Cricetulus griseus: one gene and its partners. The protein of the gene in region 1 purifies or fractionates together with the protein of each later gene. This does not show direct contact. Links are inferred from orthologs where the notes say so. Each region holds a gene or a part of one and is shown in the gene's direction. Other genes may lie near its edges. The genes, in order: Cdh5, Ctnnd1 and Jup.

The links.
Region 2: the proteins of Cdh5 (region 1) and Ctnnd1 purify together in Homo sapiens (affinity purification with western blotting; 3 studies listed by BioGRID and IntAct, counting the BioPlex papers as one, with this or other methods). This does not show direct contact. The link is inferred for Cricetulus griseus from reciprocal best matches to the Homo sapiens genes CDH5 and CTNND1.
Region 3: the proteins of Cdh5 (region 1) and Jup purify together in Homo sapiens (affinity purification with western blotting; 3 studies listed by BioGRID and IntAct, with this or other methods). This does not show direct contact. The link is inferred for Cricetulus griseus from reciprocal best matches to the Homo sapiens genes CDH5 and JUP.

The regions. Positions count from the first base shown.
Region 1 is NC_048596.1:180,279,446-180,289,798, forward strand, and holds the start of Cdh5 (cadherin-5), read left to right. Parts: upstream 1-4,485; coding exon 4,486-4,689; intron 4,690-10,353. UniProt on the Homo sapiens protein: Cadherins are calcium-dependent cell adhesion proteins. They preferentially interact with themselves in a homophilic manner in connecting cells; cadherins may thus contribute to the sorting of heterogeneous cell types.
Region 2 is NC_048599.1:90,922,794-90,932,585, forward strand, and holds part of Ctnnd1 (catenin delta-1), read left to right. Parts: intron 1-954; coding exon 955-1,072; intron 1,073-1,847; coding exon 1,848-2,001; intron 2,002-2,357; coding exon 2,358-2,375; intron 2,376-2,816; coding exon 2,817-2,885; intron 2,886-4,091; coding exon 4,092-4,219; intron 4,220-4,317; coding exon 4,318-4,468; intron 4,469-5,046; coding exon 5,047-5,239; intron 5,240-5,817; coding exon 5,818-5,932; intron 5,933-6,486; coding exon 6,487-6,574; intron 6,575-9,792. UniProt on the Homo sapiens protein: Key regulator of cell-cell adhesion that associates with and regulates the cell adhesion properties of both C-, E- and N-cadherins, being critical for their surface stability.
Region 3 is NC_048600.1:113,442,099-113,451,890, reverse strand, and holds part of Jup (junction plakoglobin), read left to right. Parts: intron 1-4,643; 5' UTR 4,644-4,651; coding exon 4,652-4,859; intron 4,860-7,557; coding exon 7,558-7,817; intron 7,818-8,008; coding exon 8,009-8,247; intron 8,248-9,792. UniProt on the Homo sapiens protein: Common junctional plaque protein. The membrane-associated plaques are architectural elements in an important strategic position to influence the arrangement and function of both the cytoskeleton and the cells within the tissue.

The DNA.
Region 1 (10,353 bases):
AAAACTGTTATTATAAGTGTTACTGGAATTAGAGGTGATGGAAGAAGGGCGGTTTTAGTCTGAGCTTCCATGGAGTCATCCCTTCCTTGTTTGCAAAGGGGACTATTGGTAGTTGCCTTGAAGGATTGTGGCAAGGTTTAAATCAGATAACATGCTCAAGAAGGCCAGGTCATTCCACACCCCAGGTTCCAGCTTTGGGAAGGAGACAGCATTACAAAATTCCACCTCCCAAGGGCCCAGACTCCATGGCCTTGCCTCCTCACCAACAGCTGGCTGACTACAGAGCTGAGTGAGTAGACCTCCCTGTCCCTGATGGAAGGGATGCCATGACAGCAAAGGCCATTCCTACTACAGGTGGGGAGCTTATGGGTGACCTTGTGGGCCAGAGGCTTTCTTTCCAGGGATCACAGCAAGGCCTCTTCTGGACACAGAGGTCAGCCAAAGTCCATCAATAGGCTAATGTCCCCTACAAGCTAGTGAACTGTGTTCATTGAAGGACAAAATAATAATGTCCTCGTATGACTGATGACGGTTGTCAGCCCTCAGAACCCTTCACTCATCCCAAAAGGTCTGAGGAAAGAAACGATGTTTGCTCATTGTGTCATACAAAGTCCCCATAGGGAACTCAATGTACAGTGTAGGCACTATAAAGGGACTTCCAGCAGCGCTATGGGGCGGGGGTGAGTGGGGGCACAGGGGCCACACTGCATGTGCAAGTACCCAGAGACCAGCAATAGAGGGAAGTGATCATCTCCAGGGCTGAAGGGGCAAAAGGGAGGACACCTGCAGATCCCAGAGGCAAAAATCCCACAGATGCTGCCCACTAGGATCTGGCATGATGGAGAGTGCAACTGCAAAGGGAAAGACAGGCGGACCAGAGGGCCGGGAAGAAGTGGCCTACTTCTCTCTTCCCATAACCAGAGCAACCAATGGACACCTTTTGGCTAAACACAGCCAGAGGCCAAGGCCAAGGCTAGGAGTCCCAGGGGAAACTCTGTGGTTCAGAGCAGAGGTTAGTGAGGGCAAAGAGAAGATCTAGGAGACAAAATGATCTACACAAATGCTCAGGATGGGGTATTATTGTTACTGCTCTTTCGAGACCAGATCTTACTATATAGCTCAGACTGGCCTCAAGTTCCTGGCAGTCATTCTACCTCTGCCTCCCAAGTCCTGGGATTACAGGCATGTGCCACTTAAGGACTGTGTTCAGGAACAAGCACAATAAGCAGGCCATAATCCTCCGATGATGGTGACAAGCTACCACAAATCTGAGGGCTTAAAGCACATGTGTTTGTTTATGTATCGGTTTACCGTTCTGAAAGCCAGGAGTCTGAACTGGATCAGAGAGGGCTGAACTCAGAGCTGTGACCCCTCTCCAGGCTTCAAGAGGAACTGGTGCCCAGGCCTCTTCTAGCTCCAAGGGCCATTTGTGTCACTTAGCTGGTAGTCTCTCAGCACCTCAGGTGAGTCTCACTACATCTCTTTGTGGTGCTGGAATCCAGACCTTCACATATTTGAGACAAGTGCCCGACTGTAGAAATGCATCCTGAACCCTCTCTCTACATTTTATTTTATTTCACTTTATTTTTGAGGCAAGGTCTCATGGCTAGCCTCTAGCTTCCTAGGTGGCTGACTGTGACTTTTGAACTTCTGATCCTCTACCCTCTAAATGCTGGGATTATGGGCATGTACCACCATACCTTGTTTGCATGGTGCTGGAGATAAAAAATGAGGCTCTGTGCATACTGGGCAAGCAGTCTACCAACTGAACTACATCCTTATTTGTGAGACAGGGTTTCCCTAGATCACGCAGGCTGGCCTTGAACTCACTCTGTAGCCAAGGAAGATGTTGGTCTTGAGACCCTCTTGCCACAGCCACCTAAGTAGCTGGGATTAAAGGCCTGATCCACCAGGTCTAACTCCAACTTTCTTTTGAATCTGACCCTCCTGCCTCTATTTTCAAAAGACCCTGGGATTATTCTAGGTAGCCTAGGATCGAGTCCCCATCTTAATTAAGCCTCAAGCAAGATCCTCCACTTAAGTATATCTGCCCAGTCCCTCTTGCTGTGTAAGGTAACCTTTTGGGTTCAGTGGACAGGACATGGATATTTGGAGGGCATCGTTGACCTACGACACTGATGGAGCACCTCTCCAGTGCCTTGGCCCTTGCTGTTCATTTCTGCCTTACCCAGGGTACATGGTAACTGTCCTTCTAAATCAGGGCTTCATTCCTGCTGGTGCTGTGTCCTGAAATTCTCTTCCTCCCTTTGGCCTTCTTAGAAACACTCAGGCGTGACCTTAAATAATTTCCTGCAGGGGCTGTGAGTGTAGTTCAGTGGTAGAGCACTTGCCTAGCACACACAAGGCCTTTGGTCACACCTCCCTGCCACCCCCCCCCAGTGTCACAAAATATAATAAAAGCATCTCCAAAGTGCTACCCATGGCTGCCCAGTCTCTGATGGCTATTTCACAGCTTCATCTCCCAATGGGATTGCCACTGTCTGCACTTCCTTTTGGTCCCAGTGTGCCAAACAGCTCTGGGACAGCTGTGTTCCAAGGCCCAGTGGAGTCCAGCATCCCAGAGGTCTCACCCCCAGCAGCAGCGCAGAGTTTAGGCTCTCACCCTCTGCTTACTCCAGGGCTGAGAACTCTTCCCCTCCTTCTCTGTTTCACTTCCTACTATATTACTTTTCCATTTCCTAGCTGCTTCTTCCTTGAAGGGAACAGAAAAACCCAAGCCTGGCAGTCCCTCCCGGGGCCAAGAAGGAAATAAGGAAATGACTCACATTACTGCCTGCAAGGTGAAGGCAGAGGGTCATATTACCACCACCCCCTGCCCTAGTCAGGACCAGATTCCTGGCAGATCTTCTGCCTCCACTCCTCTCCCCCACCCCTTTGTTCACTGTCTTCCTCTGCCTGGCATCTTACTCCAAGGGCCCCCAGAATGTTCTAGGCAGACCCTTTTGTTGATGGTTGAACAAGTCAAGGCCTGAGAGAGAGAGCTTCCCCTAGGCACACAGCACAACACAGGGTCTTGTTCCGGGATACTGGAGTCCACTTCCTTCTAGGACAGACTTGAACCATGGGTGCTAAGGTCAGCACAGACAGCCCAGCCCTCGCTGAGGCCAGCCTGGCGCCAATGGTCCAGAGATGATGTTACTAGAGTTTACAAACCTCCAGTGAGGCACAGGATCCACCCCTTCCCTCAATAGCAGGGGAGGAGGTCATGCCTTCCAGCTCCCTGAAGGCCCTCAGCTCTCCCCAGGCACACATTTTCTTCCTCCATACTATCCTAGGATCTGCAGGTCAGTGACACAGGGACCTGGGATGGGTGGCATGGGGAGGTTAGAGCTGAGAAGCCATGGTGATGACCGATGGACATGGCCTCCAACAAAAATCACGAGGCACTGGAAATTTTCCATTTTTGAAATTTAGAATAGAGGCAGGACTTGATCTCTGGGTGACCCACATTCCGAACCTACAGGTGGCCTTCCAGAGTGGACAGCCTACACAGCTGCACAGGGCCCTCACTTAAAGGGGCCCTTTGCAGTTTAAAATTCTTTTATCTCTATCTCAAAATTCCATTTTTAAAAAAAAATATTAAGACCCACCACTCTGTTTTACACTGGACCCACAAATTATGAAGCCAGCATGAATACACAGCCTCTCAACTCCCACCCAACCCATCCTCTAAAGTGGCTATCACTTGTGAGTTCTGGAGTGAGAGGCTAACTCCCGGATTAAGATGTTTGGGATTTCCTAGGAGCCCTTTGAAGGCCACATCAATGCTAGAGGGGCTTCCAGGCTGGAGTGAGCTGGAGAGATGTTTGGAGGAATCTTTAAATCTAACCCAAGCAGCTAGTGGGGCACAGAAGGCATCAGGAATGAGCTGAAATTTGGGGCCACACAGATTTAGTCCAAGTCTTAGTTCTATTCCTTACAGTCTGTGTGATTTGGGGAGGTTACTAAGTGTCTCTGTGTCTCAGTTCAAAAGCAAAATGAGGGTCACAATTACACCAACCTTGGAAGTTGGGAGGAAGATTAAATGAGATAGAGTGTCTAACAGGCTTAGAATGGAGCCAGGCAAACAGTGAACTCTCGATGACAGTGACTGATTGTGATCGATGTCTGGGCTCTATTCTCAGCTGTGCTACTTATTCAAAGGTGAAATTGGCCTCTCTGTGCCTCATCTGAGTGTCCCCATGAGCACTGGCATTACAAGTGTCCTTCCCAGCCTGGAGATCTCATCCCCCTATGCCTGCTTTCATGCCAGCCTGTGTGGGTGTAAGGAGAAATTGTTTCTGGGCTTGCCTTCCCCACTTAGACCAGGGTCTAGTTCTGCTGGTGTCAGCTGAATGAAAGATAAAGGAGGAGAGAGACAAAGGAACTTTGGTTCCTAGAGTGAGCTGCTCACACTCTAGGACAGTAGCCACTATACCCTGATATTTTCGATTCTCTTTCCCCAGATCTGTTCCTCCTGAAAGGATGCAGAGGCTAACAGAGCTGGCCGCTGCTTTGGGTATCTTCTTGGGCCTGCTGGCAGCGGCGGCAATGGCAGGCCCTAACCTTCCCCAGCTAGACACCCCCAACATGCTGCCTGCCCACCACCGCCAGAAGAGAGACTGGATTTGGAACCAAATGCATATAGATGAAGAGAAAAATGCCTCACTGCCCCACTATGTGGGAAAGGTAAGCCTTGGGCTCCAGGGTGATGGAAGTTATCAACAACTGGACCATAGTCATGGCCTTTGTAGCACAAATGGTGATGACTACAGGAGTGGTTGTCACTGAAGGGTGACAGCAACAAAGATAAGAGGTGGTAGAGGTGGCGAACATGGTGGCAATAATGGTGAAGGTGACAACTGTGCTGATAGGAAAGAGAAAGTGATGATAATGATGGTGATAGTGACAGTGATAGGATATCTAAGGAAAATAAAGACGTTGATAATGATGTCAATGGTGTTGGTGGCAGCGGTGGTGGTGGCGGTGGTCTTTGGTCATTTTGAGAGTGAAATTAAAGGTGATGAAGTTACAATCATGGCGTTGGGGTGGTGATGATGGTGGTGACCATGGTGATAATGGCAGTAATGGTAAAATGAAAGTTGTATTAGTTACTTTTCTGTTGCTGTGACAAAATATCATAACCAATCACAACTCAAGAAAGAGGTTTTTTTTTTCTGGTTTACTTGTCCAGAGGGATAGAGTCCCTCGTGGAAGGGAAGGGGCAGTATGGCAGTTGGCACAAGAAGCTGGCTGGTCCCACTTCACCTAACACGGGAAGCAGAGAGAGAACAGTAAATGAGGCAAGGATTTAAATCCCCAAAGCCCACCCCCAGTGGCATACTTTCTCCAGCAAGGTTCCAGTTCTAAAATGTTCCATACTCCTCCCCCAATAATGAAGTGTTGGGATACATGAGCCTATGGGAGACGTTTCTCATTCAAAACCTAGCAGAAGGTGAGGGAGGTGAAGGTGGTTGTGATTGTGGTGACTGTGGTGATGTGGTAATGGTGGCAGGGATGATGAAAGGGAAGGTGAGGACGTTAATGGCATTGGTGATAGTGATGACATCATAGTAATAGAAAATGGGAAACTGAGGAAGCTAATCGTGATGGAGGGGGCGGTGAGCGACATCGGTGTTGGTAGTGGTGATGGTAACAGTGGGAGAAGCGGCAATTTTGTGATGGTGATGGTAATGGGGATTGGGGAGGTTTGGTGGTGGTGGGAATGATGACTATGACAGTAATAGTGAGGAATAAGACGCTGAAGTTAACAGTGGTGGTGGGATAGGGGCGGTCATTGTGGTGATGGCAATAGTGATGGTAGTGGTGATTGGTGACGGGGAAGGTGAGGATGCTAACGGGGTGATGGTGGTGGCGGTGGCGCTCTTGGTGGTGGCAGTGGTGGTAGAGGTAAGAGCAATAGTAAAGAAGGTGAGAGAGTTGGTGGTTGTGTTGGTCTTGGTGATGACAGTGGTGGTGATAATGGAGAAGGTGCTTTCCATAGTAATAATAGTTATGGTGGTGATGCCAGTGATAGTAAAGGAGGAGATGATAAAGATAATGATAGTGAGATAGCAGTGGTGATTGTCATGATGATAGTGAAGGGGAAGCGAGGGAGTTAATGCTGCTGGTGGTGGCCATGGTGGTAGCAGTGAGTGAAGGTGATGGCGGTAGTGGTAATGATGACCACCGTGGTTTAGTAAAAGGGAAGTTGAAGGAGGTTATGGTGGTGATGATAGCTGTGATGGTCATGATGGTCGTATGACATAGTAATGGTGACACCAGCAGTGATAGTGAAAGGGAAGGTGAGGACGCTATGATGGTAGTAATAGCAGTAATGACGGTGATGCTGTTAACAATGATCATGGCAGTGATAGAGAAGAAGGTAATGGAAGTGGTGGCTATGGTGACAGTGGTCTGAATGATGAGGTGATGATTTGGATCTTAAGATATCGCCCTTATGTCATGTGCTAAGTTTGTTGTTACCCTGTGGTGCTATGGTGGCCTAGTGGGAAGTCAGTAGTAGTGTGCACTCAAAGGTGATATTGGGACTCCAACCCCCCACCACGCATGCTCTGCTTCCTAGATACCATGAGGTGAACAGACTATCTCTGCCATGGGTTTTCCATCGTGTTGTTCTCATTTCCACAGGCTCAACTCTAGACAAACTAAGGACATGGTCTTACTTGTGAGCCTTTAAATTAGTGCATTAAAAATAGACCAAATACTTTACAACAGGATGATAGGAAAGATGCCTTTAGGGCACCTCAGGAATCAGCAATACACCACCCACATCAGATCCAAAGACTTGTTTGAGAAGAGAGCTCCAGAGCACTCTACACTCACAGGACTGGCTATGGAATCATTTCCCCGGGATTGGGATTCCCTCCAGTGTGTTTAACCCATCAGGTACTCAGTGGACACTGTGCTCATGATCTGAGATGGCACGGCTATTTTTGGAGCCAGGGTTGTACCTGGCTATCATTCTCATGAGGTTGGGGTGTGGGGTGTGGGTACACAGATGTAACAGTTGTGGGGTCAAAGAGGCTTTGACCAAAATTTCAAAGGAAAACTGGAAGGTCAAATAGCATGGTAGGTTTGGAGTCCTTGAAGGCAACCCTTGAGAAGATGGTCTACAAATCTGTGAGAATGAAGGTAAATCTCTAATCGAGATTCCAAAAAGTGAGTTATGCCAGAAAGGCAGAAGTAGAGCCAGATTAAGGGAGATACCATGGATACTGCAAACAGATAGGCCACAGGGGACAGACTACCTAAGCCCTTGTACCCAAGATGCTAGAAATGGAACTATAAGATTCGATGTGTTCCACGCTAGATTTCTATCATTCTTGAGTCCAATTCTCCCTTCTTATCTTAGTTTTCTTTTATATTTTCTGTGATAAAATATTCTGACAAAAGCTATGTCAGGGAGAAAAGGTTTATTTTGGCTCACAATTCAAGGATACAGTCCATTATGGAGGGGAAGTCAAGGCAGCAGGTGGTTAAAGCAGCTGGTTCTATTACATCCACAATCAAGAACAAAACAATGAATGCTTACTCGGCTCACTTTCTCTTCTGTATTCAGTCCTGGACCTCTGCCCAGGGAATGGGTCCACTCACAATGGATTCCACTCAATTAAAAACAGGAAATCTCTCAAAGGCATGCCCACAGGCTCCCCTGACATAGACAGTCCCTCACAAGTGAGCACAGAGGTTTGTCTCATGAGTGATAATAGATTCAGTCAAGTTGGCAGTTAACACTTTTCTCCTTTTTTTTATTTAGAGAATACTTTATTAGTTTTTGTAATCAAACCCATGTAGATAACACCTTATATATTTAATACAGTGCGTTACCCCTGTACAAATGGAAAAAAAATTAAGTTCAACATTTCTAGACCAATATGGGTGTTAATTTCTGTGCAATGCCAACGCAATACGGTAAACTGGGATACTTAACATTTTCCTCTTTATGAGACAGGAATGCTTGTCCTGTACCGTTGTGTCTTGTAGTGTGTAGCTTGGCTTTTATTTTTAAAGGCCCAAAGCTTCCTTGAGTCTCAAAGGACACTTCCTGTGAGCAATGCAGGAAGTGTAGCTATAGCAGGGACTCTTGAAGAAACACAAATACACAGTGTTTGTGAGACAAACATGAGCCCTTGGTAGTAAGAGCCAGAATGTTGTCATTCAGGGCTGGCAAGATGATTCAGCAGATGAGGGTACTTCTGTATCAGCCTGACAACTTGAGTTCAAAAGTGGCAGGCGAGAATACACACACACCTGCCCTGTGTCACATACATGCACACAAAACTTACTTGTTTGTTTTGCTTGCTTGTTTATGGGCCAGAAAGATGGCTCTTTAGATGACCTCTCTGGGTCTGTAGATTGTATTCTGACAACCTGAGTTCAATCCTCAGGCCCCACATGGTAGAAAGAGAGAAATAAACAACTCCCACAAATTGCCTCTGAGGTTGATGCATGTGCGCACGTTCATGAACACACACAAAAAGACTAGTTAGTTAGTTAGTTAGTTAGTTAGTTAGTTAGTTAAAACAGAATGTTATAGTTTAGTGTTCAGGTGGAAATCCTGCAACAGTTTAGGTCTTCAGTGTCCCCTAAAGATGATGTGCTAAAGGTTGTGGCCCCAGTGAGGATGGTGAAATATTTCAGAGTGAGGCCTAGGAGAAGAAAGCTAGATCATTTAGGGATGTTCCCTTGAAGTAGATCTGGGGACTCTGGCCCCTCTACTCTCTCTTTGCTTCCTGAATGCCATTAGTGAACTATTCTCCTCTGCCACATGCTTCTACTAAGATAAACTGCTTTACCACAGGCCAAGGCACAGAGCCTCTGTAGGGGAAGCTGTAGCCACGCCTACTTAGGGGCTGGCTACAGATGTGCCTGACCATGCTTGCGAGGGCGTGGCCGGGGTGACGGGGTGAGGTAGAGCAAGACTTGAAGGGGACTGCCTCTCTCTTTCGGTTTCACTTTTGGGCTTTCGTACAGACGGCTGCCAGGCCTCCATAATCATGAGTGGTAGTATCAGAGACTGTGGCAGTGATGATGCTAGTTGTATTACTTTCACATTTCTTTCTTTTCTTCTTTTTCTTTATTCTTCTCTCATACAATACATCCTGACTACAACCTTCTCTCCTCAACCCCCAGATCCATTACTCTTCCATTTCCCTATCAACCAAATATGGCATTACAAGATGCAGTAAGACTAGGCATAAACCTTCATATCAAGGCTATACCAGGCAACCCAGTAGGAGGAAATGGGTCCCACAAGTAGGCAAATAACCAGAGACGTCCCCTCTCTCACAGTCAGGAGTCCCACAAGAACACTAAGCTACACAACCACAGCATGTATGCAGATGACCTAGTGCAGACCCATGCAGGGTCTATAGTTGTCGCTTCTGTCTCTGGGCCCCTGAGAGCCCTGCTTAGTTGATTCTGTGACCATTGTTCTCCTAGTGTCCTCAATCCCTCTGGCTCCTCCAATCTTTCCTCCCCATCTTCTGAGCTCTGCCTAGTGTGTTTGGCTGTGGGTCTCTGCTTCTGCTCCCATCAGCTGCTGGATGGTACCTCTCTTCTGACTATTGGGCTAAGCACTGATCTATGGGACAGCAGAGTATCATTAGGAATCATTCCATTGACTTTTTTGTCAGTCATGTTTAGTTCTACCCTAGGTCTCTGAAATATCCAACTTCCAGATCCTGACCATCCAGGCAGTGTGTCTGGCATGGGCTCCCTCTCATGACTTGGGCCTCAATTTGACCAGTCACTGGTTGGCCATCCCACAAGCTCTGAGCCACCAGTGCTCCAGCACATCTTTCCGGCAGGACAGATTATGGGTCCTAGGTTTTGTGGCTGGGTTGGTGTAAACGTTTGATCACTGGGAGCCTACCTTGGTTACAGGAGTTGGCCATTTCAGTCTCCATATCCTCCATTACTAGGAGTCCTTGCTAGGGTCACCCTCATAGCTTCTGGGAAATTTCCACCGCACTAGGGTTCCACGTCACCCCCTAAATGCCCACCTATTCCAGTTTGTCTCTCCCTGTACTCTCTCCCTCCATCCTTCCCTCTGCAGCCTGATCCCTCTTGTTCTATATGCACCTGCCCCCAGTCCACCCACAAAATCTATTCTATTTCCCCTTCCCAGGGATATCCAGGGATATTCCCTTAGACCTCTCCTCTTTATATGACTTCTCTGGGTCTGTGGATTGCAGCGTGATTATCCTTTCCTTAACACACCCCACAAGGAGCGTCTCAAAGGAGGGTTTACTTTGTTCAAAGTATAAGAAGGGATACAGTCCTTCACATCAAGGAAGATATGATGGCTTAAGTGTGAGGAAGATGGTT
Region 2 (9,792 bases), on another chromosome or scaffold:
TGTGCACCATGTTTACCTGCTCATTCGTGTGTTTATTCCCTTCCTTCCTCCTCCCATTCTCGTCACTTTTATTCCTCTTTGACTTTATTCTTCTAGTTAAGTAAATACCTGCTTAGAACCTCCCACATACAAGGTTCTTATCTGGTTCTGGACTTGTGTGTGTGTGTTAGTTGCTGTCTCAGTTATCCATATTTCAAATCAGGCACCTTATCATTCCCTATATTTGTACTTCTGTAAAATAAATGATGCTTCCGTCTGAATTCATTGATGTTGGTATGCCCTCTCACAAACCACCATTTTGTGGTGCTGGGTATTTGGACCTATTGCCTTGTATATGCTTGGGTGAGCTCTCTACCACTTAGCTATATCTCTACTGCTGATGTTCATTCGCACAGGAATGCACATGGGCTCACGCCTGCAGTGCACATATGCTTGGGTGTGGTGGTGGAGGTAGTGGATAGGGTTTTGCTTTCTAATAAGTCCACTCTGGCCTCAAACTCTTGATCTTCCTGCTGCTGCCTCCCAAGTGCTAGCATTGCAAGTGTGGACTACCATTTTGAGCTGTGGTATACATTTTAAAACATACTTATTATGTGTATGGGTGTCTCGTCTGCATATTTTTCTGTGTACCACATGTGTATCTGGTGCCTGAGGAGGCCTGAAGAGGGTGTCAGGTCTTCTGGGGCTTGAACTACCATGTTGTGCTGGTTATTGGGATTGTCTCCCCATTCCAGCCCCTGGTATACATTTTCAGCCTGATTCCACAAGCTAATGAAAAGTTTAGAAGACAATCAGTCAGTTTCCAACTGTAATGCCTTGCTTTTAATAGGTATGAACTGTTTATTTGTAATGAATAGAAAAGGTTTTAAGGAAGCTTTAGATGTAGATGAAGAAAGATATCAAAGAGGGCATCAGGGACTTGAGTCATCTTCAGAACTTTGTGTTTTCCCTTAGAAATGTAAGCTCAGAGAGGAGTGAAGCTCGCCGGAAACTTCGGGAATGTGATGGCTTAGTTGATGCCCTCATTTTCATTGTTCAGGCAGAAATTGGACAGAAGGATTCAGACAGCAAGGTAAGTTAATGACTGAGTGAATTTTGTTAACAAGGTAACCGTGGTTCAGATCTTCCACTTCAGGCTATCAGATAATATAAAATACCAACCCCTTCTCCTTAAAATGGGCATTGAGTTTAGAAGAAGCAAAGTGTCTGTATTTTGTGTGTGTGTGTGTGTGTGTGTGTGTGTGTGTGTGTGTGTGTGTGTGTGTGTGTATGTGTACTTCAGTGCAAGTGCACAAGAGCACAGGCCAGGAAAACATTGGTGTCCTTTGTCACTCAGGTACTCTTCACCCTATTCGTTTTAGGCAAGGTCTCACCTTGAGGTTGTATTCTTTGGCTAGACTAGCAATAAATATACTTCAGCAATCCCGTCTCTGTTCCTATAGCACTGGGTTTACAGGTACATTGGTACATTCAAGATCATGCCTGGCTTGTTGTGCAGCAGGTGCTGTGAATGACTTTACCCCTTCTCCTTCTCCCATATATATTAAAGCTGCTCAGTAGCTTCCTAGGTTATACGTTTTCTAAGTAGGGAAAACAATGACCTAAATGTCACATCATTAAATAGTTTCAGAAGCCATTATATGTCTGTAGTTAGTTCTTCTGTTAGCATGAAGATAACAAGGATTTTGAGGAGCCTAGGGCACTGAGAAAGCAACCTGAGAGAAGATGGATTGAATTATGCATTTTAGGGTTGATACTTTAATATTCAAATTATGGAGACAGGATTTCCTGGAAATCACCACAAACATTGTCTTTTCCAATTGGGCCTTTTGTTTTGTGTCCCTAAGCTTGTGGAGAACTGTGTTTGCCTCCTTCGGAACTTATCATATCAAGTTCATCGAGAAATCCCACAGGCTGAACGCTACCAAGAGGCACTTCCCAGTGTGGCTAATAGTACTGGGCCACATGCTGCCAGTTGCTTTGGGGCCAAGAAGGGCAAAGGTAAGTCTTAGTTCCTGTTCTTTAATGTGGGGGACAGGGAGGGACCACTTAGCTTTTTAGGACTTACAAATAGTCGGGAAGTCTACCTGGTGGAGACTTGTCCTTTTTTGCTCTGCTGCTGCTCCCCTTGTTCTGGATGCTTTGACGGTGGTGATGGTGATGGTGGTGATGGTTGTTAGTGTATTGGCAAATGGGGTATTGAAAGACAAGAACTCAACTAATCTGGGGCCTTCCTCCCTATTCCTCCTGTTCCTCTGCTTTCTTGTGTACTTGCCCATGATCCTGTTGACATCTTTCTCCTGCGTTTTCTTCCTTCATTTCTCTCCTCGCTTTCCACCTTGGTGATGCACTGGAAGATGAGTGGTTCTCCAGAGGTGAGTGCAATCTTTTAAGGCGCTTATCTCCTTCTAATTTGCATGTTTTGGTTTTTACCTTCCCTAATATTTCCTTGTCTAACCCTTCCCTGTGGATGCATGTAGGAAAATTTTAGTTGAGGAAAAGCATTGAAATAAGTTTTAGCTCTTCTGGGTTATGGTTTTGACCTGCTGTTTCTGGATAGCAGTCTCCATTATAAGAACTCTTTCTTAGTAGCAAGAGTGGTTATCCTTTTTGTAACAATCTATTGCCTGATTTTGGTCCTTGTTCTGCACCACCCTATTTGGACAGGTATGTGTGGGGTTTCCTTCTTTTGCCTCTTTTGATGCTGCATCTCTGATCTGAAAATTCTGACTGAAGGATGAAAAACTGAGGTGAAATCTTTCCTTCTTTTAAAAATTCTTTACTGAATTCTCTCTACCCTTCTCCCATTTTTATAGGGAAAAAGCCCACAGAGGATCCAGCAAATGATACAGTGGATTTCCCTAAAAGAACTAGTCCTGCTCGAGGTAAATTTTCCTTTTTCTCAGTCTCCAGAGAGCTCAGATACAGTTTTTGCACATGGTAACATTATTGCACATGGTAAAAGGCGAAAAGATTTATATGATGTGAAGAGAAAGCAGAGTCACTATTTCACATGGTAGCACTATATTAACAATTCTCTCTGACTTGTTGGATTTGAAGTGATGTTGAAAAATATTGGGAAACTTCACAGTATTTAGTCTCAAGTCAGAAGCTAGACTGGATGTAATAGTACCTGCCTGCAAACGTAGTACTTGGGCAGCTGAGGCAGGAGGATTGCTGTGAGTTCAAAGCCAGGTTGGGGTAGAGAGTGAGAGAATGCCTCAAAAAAGGAAAAGAAAAGCCAGAGACTTAGCTAAGTGGCTACTATTTTTTGATCTTGAACCTTACTGTCAGAAGAAATCTATCGCAGCTTGGATTTTTGGGCTCATTGTATTAATAAATATAAACTTGCTAGCTTTCCATAAATATAAAAGATGTTAGTTAAGTGATGTTAAATCTCAGGCTGTCCTTTCATTTAGTTATATTCCTGGTGGGGAGAATTACTGAGTTAAATCAGAAATAATTTGTTTGAGAGATTGAATCACTAAGCCTGATTACTCACGGTGAAAACAAGGCTTCATTTAGCTATGGAGTACAAGTCAAGGAGGAAGGAGACAGGAATTGAATATGATAGAATTGATGTCTATTCTATTTTTGCCATGGACTAGTTGTTGTTATTTTATGTTGTTTTTTGAGATAGGGTCACACTATGTAGCCCTGGCTGTCCTGGAACTCTCTATATAGACTAGGCTGGCTTCAAACTCATATCTACCTGCCTCCACCTCCCAAGGGCTGAGATGAAAAGTGTGTACATTGCTTCAGGCTAGACTAGTTATCTTTTTTTGTTTGTTTGTTTTTTGTTTTTAGAGGCAGGGTTTCTCAGTGGCTTTGGAGGCTGTCCTAGAACTATCTCTTGTAGACCAGGCTGAGATCTACCTGCCTCTGCCTCCTGAGTGCTGGGATTAAAGGCGTGTGCCACCACCTTAAGGCAGGGGGTCAGCTGGGCATAGTGGTTCTTGCTTATAGTGCTGGCATTTGAGGCTAGTCTGTGTGACATTACAATTCCCTGTCTCAAAAGAGAAAACAAAAATCTAAGAAGAAAGAGATATGGAATCAAGCCTCTGAGTTTGCTCTTGACTTTTCTTGTACAGGCTATGAACTCTTATTTCAGCCAGAAGTGGTGCGAATATACATTTCACTTCTTAAGGAGAGCAAGACGCCGGCCATCCTAGAAGCCTCCGCTGGAGCTATCCAGAACTTGTGTGCTGGGCGCTGGACAGTGAGTATCCCTGAGAAAATGGATTTGGAGATAGGAAATTTAGCTAACTCGTTTGCTGCCATTTGTAATCTTTTCACCACTTCCCATGTGCTTCCTAGTATGGTCGATACATCCGCTCTGCTCTGCGTCAAGAGAAGGCTCTCTCTGCCATAGCTGACCTCCTGACCAGTGAACATGAACGAGTAGTGAAAGCTGCATCTGGGGCACTGAGAAACCTGGCTGTGGATGCTCGGAACAAAGAATTAATTGGTAAGGATTTGAATCAGTACCTAGTACAGTGCCTGGATTCCAGCAAATGTTTAGTCATTTGTTGATGTCACCGAAGAATAGGATCTTCCTTAGTTTATATATCTGAGTGTTGGTAAAGGTTCATGGTTTAATGATTCTTAAAAACATGAAGTGATGATTCTTCAAAAACATTATAGCCACTATTATTTGTTGAATATCTGCTTTTTTTCCTCTAGGCATTGTTAAGAATTTTCCTATTTTTTCATTTGCCCAGAATAGCTTGTTAGTACTAGGCAGAGCCCAAGTTGTTGATTTTTTTAATTCATAAAGAAGACTCTGTCCCATTGAATTATCATATAATAGTAGTGAACATACTGTTTTCATTAGTTTGTGTGAAGATATCAGTGGTATATTTTGATATCTAGCATCATGTTGTCTTAGTGCACTTGAGGAAGGAGGAGGGGCTGTGGGTTCATGGCTATCTCATGTTCTTTGCCCCTTTGATATAGTCTTATGTAATAATGAAGTTGATTTGTAAGGCCCCGCCTGGCCTGACTGCCTTGTCTCCTACATGTGTTACTTTTGTCTCACTGCTATAGGCAAACATGCCATTCCTAACTTGGTAAAGAATCTGCCAGGAGGTCAGCAGAACTCCTCCTGGAATTTCTCTGAAGACACCGTGGTCTCTATTTTGAACACCATCAATGAAGTTATTGCTGAGAACTTGGAAGCTGCCAAAAAGCTTCGAGAGACCCAGGGTATTGAGAAGCTGGTGTTGATCAACAAATCAGGGTGAGCTTGTACTTAATCAGAGCTGGAAGAATTTGAGTGTAAGAGAAGAGTTTTCAGAAAGGAGCTGCCCTCTTCTGTTCTGTTAGATTACTTTACCATATATTACCCTCTGACATGTGGAGAGGTATTGATCTATTTTCATTCTTAATGCTGGTCTATAAATTGATGATGGACTCTTACATCAAATTAGTCTATTTCAGTCTTTCAGACAGAATATACAGTTTGGTGAAAATTTGATTTCACCCATTTTTACAATTTTATATTCTTGTGTTGTTACAGCAGTGACCTCAACCTGTAGGTCACTACCCCTTTGGGCTTGTCAAATAAGCCTTCACAGGGGTCATCTAATACCATTGGAAAGCACAGATAATTAAGGTATAATACATAACAGTAGCAAAATTACAGTTAAGAAGTAGCAAGGAAAGTAATTTTATGGTTGGGGTCACTACAACATGAGGAACTATATTAAAGTGTTGTGCATTAGGAAGATTGAGAACCACTGTGTTAGAGGGTACAGGTTCAAGATTTCCTGGTCGTCAGCCAAACTTTGTATGGTGTTTCTTTCTATAACTCTATAGGAATCGCTCAGAAAAAGAAGTCCGGGCAGCAGCTCTTGTCTTACAGACTATCTGGGGCTATAAGGAGCTTCGGAAGCCACTGGAAAAAGAAGGATGGAAGAAATCAGACTTCCAGGTATAATAACTCTTGATCAAAGCTTTGACTTTTCTTCTCCTCTGGTCCTTGGCTAGTGCCTCTGTCTTTGGTTTCTTCTATTTCACTATCATACTAAATCCAAGTCTTTCAGATGGTGAAGACTTTATTTGCCATACTATCTCTTAATGCAGTGGTGCCCACAGTCTCTCAATGTTGAACATGCAGTAGATGCTGCTGGTAGTGAATGGTCATTGTGTATGGCCATTGTGATCCCCCTCCCCATCTACTCTGACCCTCCATGTACTTAACATTCTCTGATTCTTCTGCCTCTAGTCCCCTAAGTACTGGCATTATAGATAAGTGCCACAGCCTAGCCTCAGATTCTTTTTCTAAAGAGTTATAGTTGTCAGTAGGAACCTAGAGAATTAAGCCCATTACGGGAAGGATGTATGAGTGAGGGCTAGGGCAGATGATGGAGAAGGAAGTTAGTGGTCCTTCAGTGTCTGAAGCAGGAAGTACATGATTAGGAGGAGGGGACAGAAAGAAGTGGATATTCATGTTTCTCTGACATTGGGTTTTATGTTTGCCTACAGGTGAATCTAAACAATGCATCTAGAAGCCAGAGCAGCCATTCATATGATGATAGCACTCTCCCCCTCATTGATCGGAACCAAAAATCAGGTATAGTATCTAAGAGGTGCACCTTTTTCTTTTTAGTGCTCCCACTATTATTTAATGTCTTATTAACTAAGCAATGGGATATGTATTTATTTCTGAATGAGCTAGACCCTGAAGAGAGCAGTAATGCTTTAACTCTGGATTATAATGTATAAGAGAATAGGTTTGAACTTAGAAATTAAAACAGGCAGGGAAGGGTGTGGTGGTGCACATTTGTAATCCCAGTCCAGGACTCTGAGGTGAAGGAAGGAGGATCAATGTGTCAAGTCCAGCCTTGGCTACATGAGACTCTGTCTCAAAAGAAAATAAAATAAAACCAAAATCAAAGCAGTTGGTGAGCTTGAGTGTGGCTCCTCTATTTGCCTGTGAACTTAGAAAGCAAGGCATAATTTTTCTGTTTAATTTCTTCCTCTTAAATTTCTGTGTTCTGTTGATTAATGTGCTTGATTAATTACTAATTAAAAATTAATGACAACTAGAAAATCTGTTATTTCTAGTGCCTAGAGAAAAAAAAAACACTATTACTATTTTAGCTTATAGCTCTGTGTGTGTGTGCACTTATGTTTTCATGTTTGTGTGATTGAACCCAGGGCTTTCTAGGCAAGTGTTGTACGTCCCTTACTGAATTAGAGCTTTTCAAACCACTTTACCATAGATGAAGTATGTATTTTGTATTGTATGTATTTTTCTTTCACTGAAAGAATGTACTGTAACCCTTCTTGATGATTTTGGCTTCTGATTTGGAGTGTGCTGTGAGGGCCCCAAAACTCTTGGACATAGGTGCTGATGGCATAAAAACAGTAGTGTTTGCACAGGTTGCTCAACATGAATGAGGGTAGCAACACTACTGAACAAATTATTTTCATTACCATGTACTCTATAAAAAGCCATCTTGACTCAGGAGCATCCTTGATGGAGCTGTAAACGTAATACCCCTAAGTACACATCGTTTAGATGTGTAGTGCTAATGAGGAGATGGGCAGCTCTTGTGCTGTATAGGGAGCCACTGTGGCTGTCTTGAGGCAGACTATAGATATTACTTATTTAGAGTGCTGTTTTACTTTGTGAAGCAGCTGAAACATGGTTATTTGGCAAGCATTTTCTCAAAAATAAATGTGGAAACCTTATCACTTTAGTTAAAAAAAAGCAGGGACCAAAGCCAGGTGGTGGTGGCACCACATTCTTAATCCCAGTCCTTGAGAGGCAGAGGCAGGCAGATCTCTTGTGAGTTTGAGGCCAGCCTGGTCTGCAGAGTGAGTTCCAGGACAGCCAAGGGTTATGCAGAGAAACCTTGTATCAGAAAAACAAATAAAACAAAGCGAAAACAACAACAGCAACAAAAACCCAACAGCAAAAACTGACAGTATTTACTACCTGAGTAAACAATATAACCACATAATTTTGGCCGAGTGTGGTGACTCAACCTAGCACTTGGAAGGCCAGCCTGACATGTAGAGTAAAACACTGTCTCCCCTCCCCTGAAAAGAAAAATCATACCCATGTTATTGAGCTTGGTAACTTCCCAGTACTTAAAAGGCTTTTTGTAGGGTCATCCATGTCACAGTATGGATGGGGACGGAGACACACACACACACACACACACACACACACACACACACACACACACACACTGCAGTAATAGAAAAATTAAAAAATAAGGTGTTAAGAATAGAAGTATCGGGCTGGAGAGATGGCTCAAAGGTTAAGAGCATTAGCTGCTCTTCCAGAGGACCTAATTTCAATTTCCAGCAACCACATGGTGGCTCACAGCCATCTGTAATAAAATCTGGCACCCTTTCTGGCATGAAAGTGTACATGCAAGCAAAATATTGTATATATGATAAATAAATAAATTTTATTTAAAAAAAAGTATAGAAGTATCTCAAGTTGGTGGCGCACGCCTTTATTCTCAGTATTCAGGAGGCAGAGGCAGGCAGATCTCTGAGTTCAAGACCAGCCTGGTCTACAACAGTGAGTTCCAGGACAGCCTCCAAAGCCACAGAGAAACCCTGTCTCAAACCCCCCCCCCCAAAAAAAAGAATAGAAGTATCAAGTTAAAAATGACTTTTATGATTATGTAAGTGATGATATAAATGTGTTTTAAAAATACACATGTATACTACTAAAATGTGTTAATTTTATAACATTTGCATAATTCTGTAAACCATTATCTTGCAGGGAGACAATGCCATGATATTTCAAAATCCTATATGAGTAATTCAAGGGCAAGACAGCTTATCCATCTATGTTTTATGATCTTTCTTGAGACAGGGTCTTGCCATGGACCCTACAATTGCCTGGAACTCATTATGTAGAACCAGTGATCCCTGCCTCTGCCTTCTAAGTGCTAAAATTATGGAAGTGTGCTTATTAATCAAAGTTAAAAGAGGTATATAAAAATGTTAAACTGCTCCTTACTTTTTTTTTCTTTTGGTCTTTCAAATTTATTATTATTGTAGACATGGTATGTTGTTGTGGGCATACATATACTGTGGCTTTCAAGTAGAGCTCAGGGGACAACTCTGTGGTGCTGGTTCTTGTATTTTTTCATGGCTTCTGGGAAATAAACTCAGGCTGTCAGGCTTGCACAGCAAGTGCTTGTTCCAATGAGCCACCTTTGCAGTCCACACACAATGCTTTTTAAATTGAAGGTGATTATGATTATGTAATAAGTGTATTTCTAAGTGGAATAGATGTTTACATTTCTGAATATAGTATTATGTACTTATTCCACACCGATAAAAGTCCTTTGCATCTTAATTTATTCTATATGTGTGTGATTTGGGACTGAATCTAAGCTTCTGGTGGCGAATGCCTTACCTACTTTTTTTTTTTTGAACATTTTATTTATTATGTATACAACATTCTGCTTCCATGTATATATGCACACCAGAAGAGGTCACCAGATCTCATTACAGATGGTTGTGAGCCACCATGTGGTTGCTGGGAATTGAACTCAGGACCTCTGGAAGAGCAGTAAGTGCTCTTAACCTCTAAGCCATCTCTCCAGCCCGCCTTACCTACTTTTGAGCCACATCTTCAACCTAGACCTTCATAATTTTGAAGACTAAAGAAACTTTGAGATATAATGGCTCAGATTGCTGAAGTGCTTTTTATTGTTTATTTGTTTATTTTGTTTGGGTGTGTAGGTAGGTCAGAGGACAGTTTATGTGAGTCAGTTCCTTTCACAAGTTGATTCCAGGGATGAGACTCAGGCCATC
Region 3 (9,792 bases), on another chromosome or scaffold:
GCTGGAGGGATTTTCCATTCCCAGGAGTCCTGCTTTGGGCTCATCTGCTGGCTTGGGACACTGTCCCAAAGAAAAGTGTCCTCAACAGGGATGCAGCTGCAGCTGGAGCCCTCTGCAGGGGAGCCCTGAGGTTCCCTAGGTCAGGCCACTTGGCCGGGCCACTTCCCTCTGCTACAACATCCCCTTCATTTTCCCACCCTGCTCTGTTTGCTTTGGGACGCAGCCCAGAAGAGAACAAACAGCAGCTGGGTCGTGGCCTGAGCCCCTCCCACTCCAGACCCCTTCTTGGCCATGGCCTGAGCTGGACTGTCAGACTGGAAGTGGGGGGTTGCCTTTGACTTCTCCTGTCCTGAGCATTGGTCATGCATGGCCCCTGTTCTGCAGATGGAGGCCACGGTGTCTGCCCAGGAGCATCTCACTACCATAGAACAGGTGCTGGGGGACAGTGGAGGAGTTCCCTCCTGGTATCGGCAGTCTCTAGAAGTCTCTGTGTCTGTCTGGTGGACTGTATCATAATAGAGTGTGTTTCTGTCTGTGCGACTGCTGGCTATATCCCAGCTGGATCTAAAGGCAGTGAGGAGGAAAGGTGGGGGCTGTTCTGTCTGGACTGACCTGTTGAAGGAGAGAGGCAGGGAGGCAGCCGCGTTCAGGTCACACACACAGTCTGAGAAACGGGGGTCACAAGATTAAATAGTTTGACTTGCTAGAAGGCCCATAACCAGTTAGGGGTGAGTTCTGATAGAGACCCCTCTGCAAAGATGCTCACCCACCACTCCCCTCGTGCTTTGAGATAAGCCCATGGATCTGAGTATCAGATAGGGTACCAGTCTCTGACCCAGAGAACCTGTAGGGGAGCCCAACCTTGCTCCCCATACAGTGGACCCGTGCTTAGTTTCTGCTCTGACGGCCAACATAGTCTTTCAGCAGCCTGTTTTCATGAGCATATTTCTTTCTCTTTTTTAATAATTCATTTTTATTTTATGTACAATGGTGTTTTTTTTTTGTTTTGTTTTGTTTTTTTGCTTGCATGAATGTCTGTATGAGGGCATCGGATCCCTTGGAAATTGAACTCAGGACCTCTGGAAGAGCAGCCAGTGCTCATAACTGCTGAGCTATCTCTCTAGCCCCTCGTGAGCATATTTATAGGTGTCTTACTGTCATGTAGCAGCCCAGCCTAGCTGTGCCTGTTGCTGACTGTCCCCTACAGGTGCTGGCCAGGCCGGAGGCTGTTGTCACTCTGGTAGGGTTATTTTTAAAGTCAGGACTGGCCGTCATTCTACAGGACAGCTTGGATGGAGGGTGCCTGATGCCAGCACCCCAGCTGGCTGTACAGAAGAGCAGGCATGAAAGGCGGGGCTCTTCCCCAGTCTGGAGCCAGTGGGGGAAGGGCCCTTTGCATACCCTTCAAGGGCTTGTGTCTTCTCTCTTCCTGTCTTTGAGCCACCCCCCTACTCCACCCTGTGATCTCTGAGCTAGCTTCTTCCTCTCCGCTGCCAACAATGCAGCAGAACTCCACCACTAGACAAAGGTTCCCCCATTCAACTAGGAAACCCGCCCTGTCCCTGTCTCTTGTCCCTACCCATCTCTGGCCCACTGCCTGGGCAGGGCCCCCACCACTGTCTCCCTCACTTCCAACTGGGTTCTGTCCAGGGGCTTTGCAGACGGTCTGACCTGTGGATCCAGGGTGGACAATACTTAGACCAAACTGGGTGCGGCTTCTCCACCCTGGGAATGGCCAAACCTGTACTTTTCGCTTGTTATGGAAGAATTTCCCAGGTTCTCTTGAGGAGTCAGTAGGGAGAAAGGTGAAGTTGATTGACGTCCTGTCTGATCCTGGAATACCAGCCTTCCAGCTGTTTCTGTGAGGAGTTCTGGTGTGTCCCCTCTCTTGCTCACTCTCAGTCTTCCTTTCGCTTGCATGGTAACACTACTGCCTTAAAATCTGAGACACCAGTGCTTTTTCTGAGATAATGGGGCCAGCCTTTCTGTGGGTGAAACCCAGAGAGGTTAAAAAAACAAAAACAAAAACAAAAACAAACCCCAGGGGTCCCCAGCATATGTGATGAAGCTGAGACCAGACCCTAATATGATCAATGCATAGGTGGGAGGTCCTCCACCTGCAAGCACCCTCATTCTTATCCTCCCCTTCTCCCCTCGGGCAGAGGACTCAACTTCCTCCAGAGGTGAACTAAATCCCAGTAAGGTAGACCCAGCATTGAGCTAAGCACCACCTTTTCTGCAGTGCGGAGCCAATCAGGAATCAGCAAAAGGCCTGCCAGCAGGGTTGGAATGCACTGGCTGTCAGAGAACTGGATGCTTGCCCTCTGATATCCTTTGACCCATGCCTGGCCCTGGGCAGCTAGCTATCCAACCCTTGGCTTCCCTTGGCTCCAGGCCTGGCCAGCTGGGCATGAGGACCAGCATGTGAGCAAACCCCTCTCAGGATGCTAGCCTTGACTACAGTGTTCCCTTCTCACCCGAGGCTGACTGTTGTGGTTTGGGATGAGCCTTCTCCTGTCTCTCTGGATCCTAGGGTTAGATGGCTATCTCTGTGGAAGGCAGCTTTGTGGTCAGACTGGGGAGCTCATGTCTGCAGGGCCTATTGTCCTACATTTCGTCCTCACCCTCTTGACTTTGCCTCCATGGGGCACTGGAGGGTCATTGCCAATGGGTTTCACCATCTCAAGAGCTTGAGTTTGGTTTTTTTGCTCCCTCCCAAGGGTGACTTCTGGGACCCACCCATTCCTCCCAAGCTCCTCAGTTCTCTCTTGGGACCCACCCTGGGGGCAGAGGACAGGATGGGGGAAGGCAGGGTTTTCCTGAGCTGGCCTCCTCCAAGCTCCTGATTTCCTACCATTGGCTTTTCGCTGCTGCTGGAGCTGGCGGGAGGGGAGCACAAGAAGGTGGAGGTAGTCTAAAATAGCTACTCCTGGCAAGTGTCTGGGAGCAGCTGTGCGCATCTGGTGGCCCAGTGCCTGCCGTCTGTGGCCTGGGCCTACTGCTGTTTATCAACCCCAAACGAAACTCTGAGTCACCCAGGGTGGCGGGAATAGAGGAAGGCGGCCGCTGGGAGCTGGTGCTGCCCTCGCCTGTTTTAGGACTGCTTGTGGCAGGGGAGGGAGGGGCTGTGTGTCCCATGAAGGGCAGGGAGAACATTCATCAAGGTCTCCTTTTTTCTCTCTGAAACAGTGTCTACCTCTGTGGCTGACTCCCACTGGTAATTCCTGTATCCCAGTCTCCCAGGTACTGGCATGACAGGCGTGTTCTGCCATGCCCCTCTGTCGTCACGCTCTGGGAAGGGGCCCCTGATTCTCTTTGTTCCTGGGGTGGCGCCTCTCGGTGCCATGCCCCACCCTCATGTTGCAGGGTTCCCCCGTCATGCCGGCCACCACCCCATTTTAGGAGTGGACTAGCCTGGGCTCTGCTCGTTTTCTGAGGTCATATTGGAGTGCAGAAGGTGGAGACCTCACTGTTAAGCCTGCCGGTCCTTTCTGGTTCCATTGCTAGCCGGTTTCTACATTTATGAGTTGGGGAACAAAGCTCTGAAACCCACGAGTGAGAATGATGGCATTTGTGAGGTGTCTGGAGGCATGTGTGAGAGATGTGGGCACATAGTAGGCCCTCAGACATTCCGTCATCTCTCTCCCTGGCCGCCTGTGTCTGGGTGGTGGTGGTTGTGATAGGGTCAGTGTCCACAGATGTGGGACCAATTAGACCAAATGGGAAGCCCACTTGAGGTGGGTGCGGACACTTCCTCATGAGCCTTCAGATGACCCCAAGTCCCCAGAGCAGGGTGAGATTCCTCAACCGCAGTGACCACCCCAGAGGCCTGCCAGCTGCTAGCCTGGGTTCCAGGAAGTGGAAACTGAGCAGCATCCTAGGGGTGAGGCAATATCCTGGTCCCCAACACTGAACACCTACTAAGTGCCATCCATAGTGGGTCCTTCTTCCCAAGCACTGTCCTCACAGCAAGCAATCTGTGAGAGTGGTGGAACCGAGAGCCGGATTGGCTTGGAGTAAGTGGCCAAGATTTGAACTGGTCTGTAGAGCTCAGATGCTGGGAAAGCTGGGCACTAGAAGAGGGGAGGGCCTGGTTAGGCTCACCTTCTGGAAAGTGAGACTCAGGAACGCTGAGGGAGCCAGGTGTGCCGGAGAAACCTGTCTGACAGCTTCCCCACCCCACCCAGTCTCTCAGCCAATGGCTGGTTGGGTGCTGCAGCCTCTGCAACCTTCCCCAGGGAGCTGCAGCAAGTCTGCAGGGCCCCTGCAGCTGCCTGAAGCCCTTAGTTCCTTTGCCACTTGAAATACTGGCTTGGGACAGACTGGTGAGTGAGCTTGGGGCTGGCCTGGAAGCGTCTGGCTGTTTCCGTCTCCACACCAGAGCTGGGGATGCCAGGCCAGGGCTTAGCCACAAAGGCTCCTCTGCAGCTCTACTCTGCCTAGGCCGGCTTCTGGTGGGCAGCACCTTTCTGGGCTGAGTGCCCTTCTGCTTCACCCCTGCACCTTGCTGTCTGAGTTCCTTGAGACTATGGTGGGGTGTCAGAAGAAGGGCAGATTTCAGGGAAGATGGCTGCAGCCAAGTTGAAACTGGAGGTGGTGTTGTCCCTCCAGCCAGCTAACATTGTGCTCTTGTTCATCCTTAGCAGCCGCCATGGAGGTGATGAACCTGATTGAACAGCCCATCAAGGTGACTGAGTGGCAGCAGACGTACACCTACGACTCAGGCATCCACTCAGGTGTCAATACCTGTGTGCCCTCAGTCAGCAGCAAGGGCATCATGGATGAGGATGACGCCTGCAGCAGGCAGTACACACTCAAGAAGACCACCACCTATACACAGGGGGTGCCCCAGAAGCAAGGTGTGTTCTCCAGGGTTGTGTTTTGTTTTGTTTTGTTTTTGTTTTTTCCATGGGGCAGGAACTCTAGCTAGATCCTGGTGGGAGGTAGATCAAGGGAGTCTCTGGTTTGAGAAGTTCCTATTCTTGGGGACTTAGGAAGTCTGAAGGGGAACATGTGGCTACTCAGAGACAGACACAGATGTCACTTCCATAACTCTGAATGTGTAGGGAAGCATAGGCTCTGCCCAGCGGTGCCAGTGGTTGGTAGAGTGGGCCCACACTTGGCTTCTGGGATTCTAGGGATGTAATAAGGAGACTTTATTGCCACCCTCAGTGGGAACGTGGGCATTATTGGGAAGACACACATCTGATGAGAGAGACCAGGAACAAACCCTCCATCCCAGTCTGGTGGTAGCGTCACAGTGTTCAAGCCTAGACGGGCTAGAGCATGACTTGCAGATGTCCCAAGGACAGGGCACAGAGTCGCTGAGTCAGTTTTGGGTCCTGACACAAAGGCGAATACTTGGCCAGTCCAGGTGCTCCTTCCTCTCTGGGACAGAGGTGCACGTAGCTCTAGGACTGTCATTCACAGATGCCCCCAGGGCCCTAAATATTCCAGGTAGTGGGATTTGGGGCCTGGACAGTTGCAGGGTGAGCAATGGCTGGTCGAGGCTCTATGAATGTGTCCCAGGTCTCCTTCCTGGCCCCAGGCAGGAGCCTGTGTGCCTGGCAGGGCCAGGTGCATGTTGGGAGCTAAAATAAAGTGTACAAGTGGGAGAGCCCTGTGGGCAGCCTCGCCTTCCCCATTCATTAGGGAATAACTCTCTGCCTGACTCTCTACTGGGGCATCGGGACATTTGTTGTGACTTTTTTTTAATAGCCCCAGCCTACCCCAGAGGTAGAACCCTGTGTTTCCCTTGAGGACCTTTGCTCCTGCCTTCTCAAAGCCACAGTCCCGTCCTGTCTCTCAATTGACTGTGTGATCTTGGGTGGTGCTCTGGGACTAATTTTGGCCCCCTGTGTATGGAGAGAGTTGCTATTTTGTGGAGGGTGAGTATATAATTAGAATGTTGAAGTCTAGCTTGTCTAATCCCATGACTGCCCTGCCGGTTACAGGTGGAGGAGGGGGCGGGACTTTGGGCACCCGAGTCCACTGCTTTTATGACCTTTGAATTCAGTGTCCTGCAAAATGGAGATAGTATTATACTTGCCTTGTAAGATGGTTGTAAGAGTAAATGATAAAGTAGGAGAAAGGTATTTAACCCACTGTCAGGCAGATGAAACACCACCATTAGCTCTTCTTTTTTGTTTGTCATTATTTGTGTGTGTGTGTGTGTGTATGTGTGTATCTGTGTGAATGTATACACATGTGTGGGCGAGGGTACCCTTGGAGGCCAGAAGAGAGCATCCTTTTTAAGATCCTTTAGAACTGGGGTTACATTGTTTGTGAGCTGCTTGATGTGGGTGCTGGGATCTGAACTCTGATCCTTGTGATAAACCATTTCTCCAGCCCCTGGTCTCATGTAACCTAAACTAAACTGTTTTGTTTTGTTTTTTAAAGATTTTATTTATTTATTATGTATATAACTTTCTGCCTCCGTGTACTCCAGAAGAAGGCACCAGATCTCATTACAGATGGTTGTGAGCCACCATGTGCTTGCTGGGAATTGAACTCGGGACCTCTGGAAGAGCAGTCGGTGCTCTTAACCTCTGAGCCATCTCTCCAGCCCATAGCCTAGGCTATCTTAAACTCATTGTGTAGCCAAGGATGACCTTGAACTCCTCTTGCTGCCACTTATGAAGTGCTTTAATTAATTACATAAGTGTCCCACCAAGCCTCATTTTATTCATTGTTGAGAGTGGAACCTTGTTAGGCAAGCATTCTACCAACTGAGCTACATTTTCAGCTATAGCTGTTAATAATTATTGCTGAGCTGGCCATGATAGCAAGGGTATATGATGTCCCCCATGTACTTGGTAGACTTGAGGCAGGATTACAAGTACAAAGTAAGTTCAAAGTCAGCTTGGGAAACAAAACATTTTTAATTTTTTAAGTGTGTGTGTATTTGCATGTATGTATGTATGTATGTATGTATGTATGTATGTATGTATATACACCAAATGGGTGCAGTACTTATGCTGGCCAGAAGGGAGAAGCCCAAACCTCCTGGAACTCCAGTAAGCTATGGCTTTGAGCCACCATGTAGGTGCTGGGAATGGAACCTTGGTCCTCTGCAAGAGCAGTAAGTGCTCTTAACTGCACAACCATTTCTCCGGCCCCCAATTTTTTTTTTTTTTTTAAGACTGGGAATATAGCTCAGTGGTTAGATGCTTGCTGAGCAAATGTGAGGCCCTACTTTTACTCCCCAGAACTGTACTGCAGAACAATATGCAGTACTACATATATAACAACATATTGCTGTAGACATTTTTTGTAATGATAGTTGTCAGACAAGAGTCTTTTCAAAGCAAGTCATGGCTGTGATCTTAGTTGTCATAGAGTTCCCTGTGCTGGGTGGGCTAGATGGGCCTCATGCTATAAATAAAAGCAATGGCAAAGATGATTTCCCAGAACCTTGTTAGGTATAGAGTCCTGAGTGATGCCCTATACTTTGATGGAGCACGAGGCAGCTTGGAGCCGTGTCTGTGTGGCTTACCTTGCTCTTCAGGGTCCCTCTAAATCTCCTGTAGCTCAGTCCTTGTGTCATTTGTCTTCCAGGTGACCTGGAGTACCAGATGTCCACGACGGCCAGAGCCAAGCGGGTGCGGGAGGCCATGTGTCCAGGTGTGTCAGGCGAGGACAGTTCTCTACTGCTGGCCACCCAGGTGGAGGGGCAGACCACCAACCTGCAGCGGCTGGCAGAGCCATCCCAGTTGCTCAAGTCGGCCATTGTACATCTCATCAACTACCAAGATGACGCAGAGTTGGCCACCCGGGCCCTGCCTGAGCTCACCAAGCTGCTCAACGATGAGGACCCGGTCTGTGAAGGGCCTGGAGGTGGGGTGGGATAAAGTTAGCTGTCCCCAGAGGGAAGGAAGCCATGAGGCTGGCTCCCCACAAAGTGTCTGGCTCATCTAAGCTCTGTGGAAGGATGTCCTGTCCTTTGCCTTCCTTCCCTCTGTGGAGGAGTTGCCTGGACTGTATGCTCAAGGTCTCATACTTCCTTTAGGTAGTGGTGACCAAGGCGGCTATGATTGTGAACCAGCTGTCCAAGAAGGAGGCATCCCGCCGGGCCCTAATGGGCTCGCCCCAGCTGGTGGCGGCTGTGGTGCGCACCATGCAGAACACCAGTGACCTGGATACAGCCCGTTGCACCACGAGTATCCTGCACAACCTCTCCCACCACCGGGAGGGGTTGCTCGCTATCTTCAAGTCTGGAGGCATCCCTGCGCTAGTCCGAATGCTCAGGTAACTTGCTCCTCTGTTGCACAGGCGTCAGGGGCCTCCCAGCATCCTTTTATACACACATGTGAAGCACCACACCCATCCTGGCTCTCAGCTGCTCATAGCCCAACCCAGAGACAGTAACGTAAACAACAGGCTGACTGTTAGGATCTGTAAGTTGTAGCAACAGAATGGTTGAGATTGCCCAGAGGCAGACTCGTACTGAGGGCAGGGCTTTGACAGATGGGTGGATTTGGTCAGCCTTGATCAAGGAGAGGCTATCCTAGCAAGAGAAGAGCATGTCTGAGCCCCACCCGACCATGCGATTTTTTTCTCCTCTTTCCCGGCTGAGATGAGTGGGAGTTCTTTGAGGGGAATTTCACTCCCCTCTGTAGCTGTCACGGGGCCTCTGCTATGTGACCTTACACACAGTAGTGACTCAGCTGTTCAGGGACCTGGTATATAATTAGGACGTGCAGGACCTCAGAGGCGGGAGTGAAGATGCGCTGTGTGCTGATGTCATTAGGACTGCGCTCGGCTGGCCATGGTGGTGCTCACCTTTGATCCCAGTCCTCAAGAGGTAGAGATCTCTATGTATTCCAAGCCAACCTGGTCTATACAGAGAGTTCTAGGCTAGCCAGGGCTGCATAGTGCATAGTGCAAACTGAAAACCCGTCTTAAAAAAAAAAAAAGGAAGAAAGAAAGAAAGAGTGGGACTGGATCTTGAGGGGAGTAGAGACACTGGGTGGGGAGGAGCTGATGGCTCAGTCAATGAGGAGTTTACCTCTCAAGCATGAGGACCCAGGTTCAATCTCCAGCACCCATGTAAAAATGCTGGATGCAGTAGAGGGCATTTGCAGCCCCTGCCCTGGGGAAGCAGAGACTGGAGGAAGCCCTGGAGCTTGCTGGCCAGCCAGTTTAGCCTAAGGAGCTTGGGCCAGTTAGAGACCCTGTATCTGAGGAGGGGGATTGTGTTCCTGAGGATGACACCTGAGGTTGTCTTCTGACCTACACACACACACACACACACACACACACACACACACACACACACACACACAAATTAAAAAGAGGGGCTGTGCTCAAGAAAGAATGACACTTTAGGGTATTTCATTTAGATACCTCTGTCAAAAAAGTTACTGGTTATCCCAGAAGGAGCCATTTTAAATACCATAAATACTCCAGCATCTAAGGTATCCTCATTGTCTCCATCTCTTCCTCAAGTTGTTGTATCTGCTAGTCAAAATCCTGCCTCTGTCTTCCCTGCTTTTCGATCATCTGGTTCAGAGAAACCTGACAAAGCTGCATCTTGAATTTAGACTAAATGAGCCAGTTTTTAAATAACGGGGCATTGTTTTAACTCCCATAAAAATTTTAACTGTTTATTATACTGTTGAAAACATACTGTTCATACTGTGTGTCTGTGTGTGTGTCTGTGTCTGTGTGTGTGTGGTGTGTTGGGGTGTGTGTGTGTGTGTAGGTGTATGTGTATCTTCATTAGCTTGCACAAGACTTTGTTTTCTTGGGGAGGGCAAAATATACCATTTCACTCATTGGTGTGAAGATGTT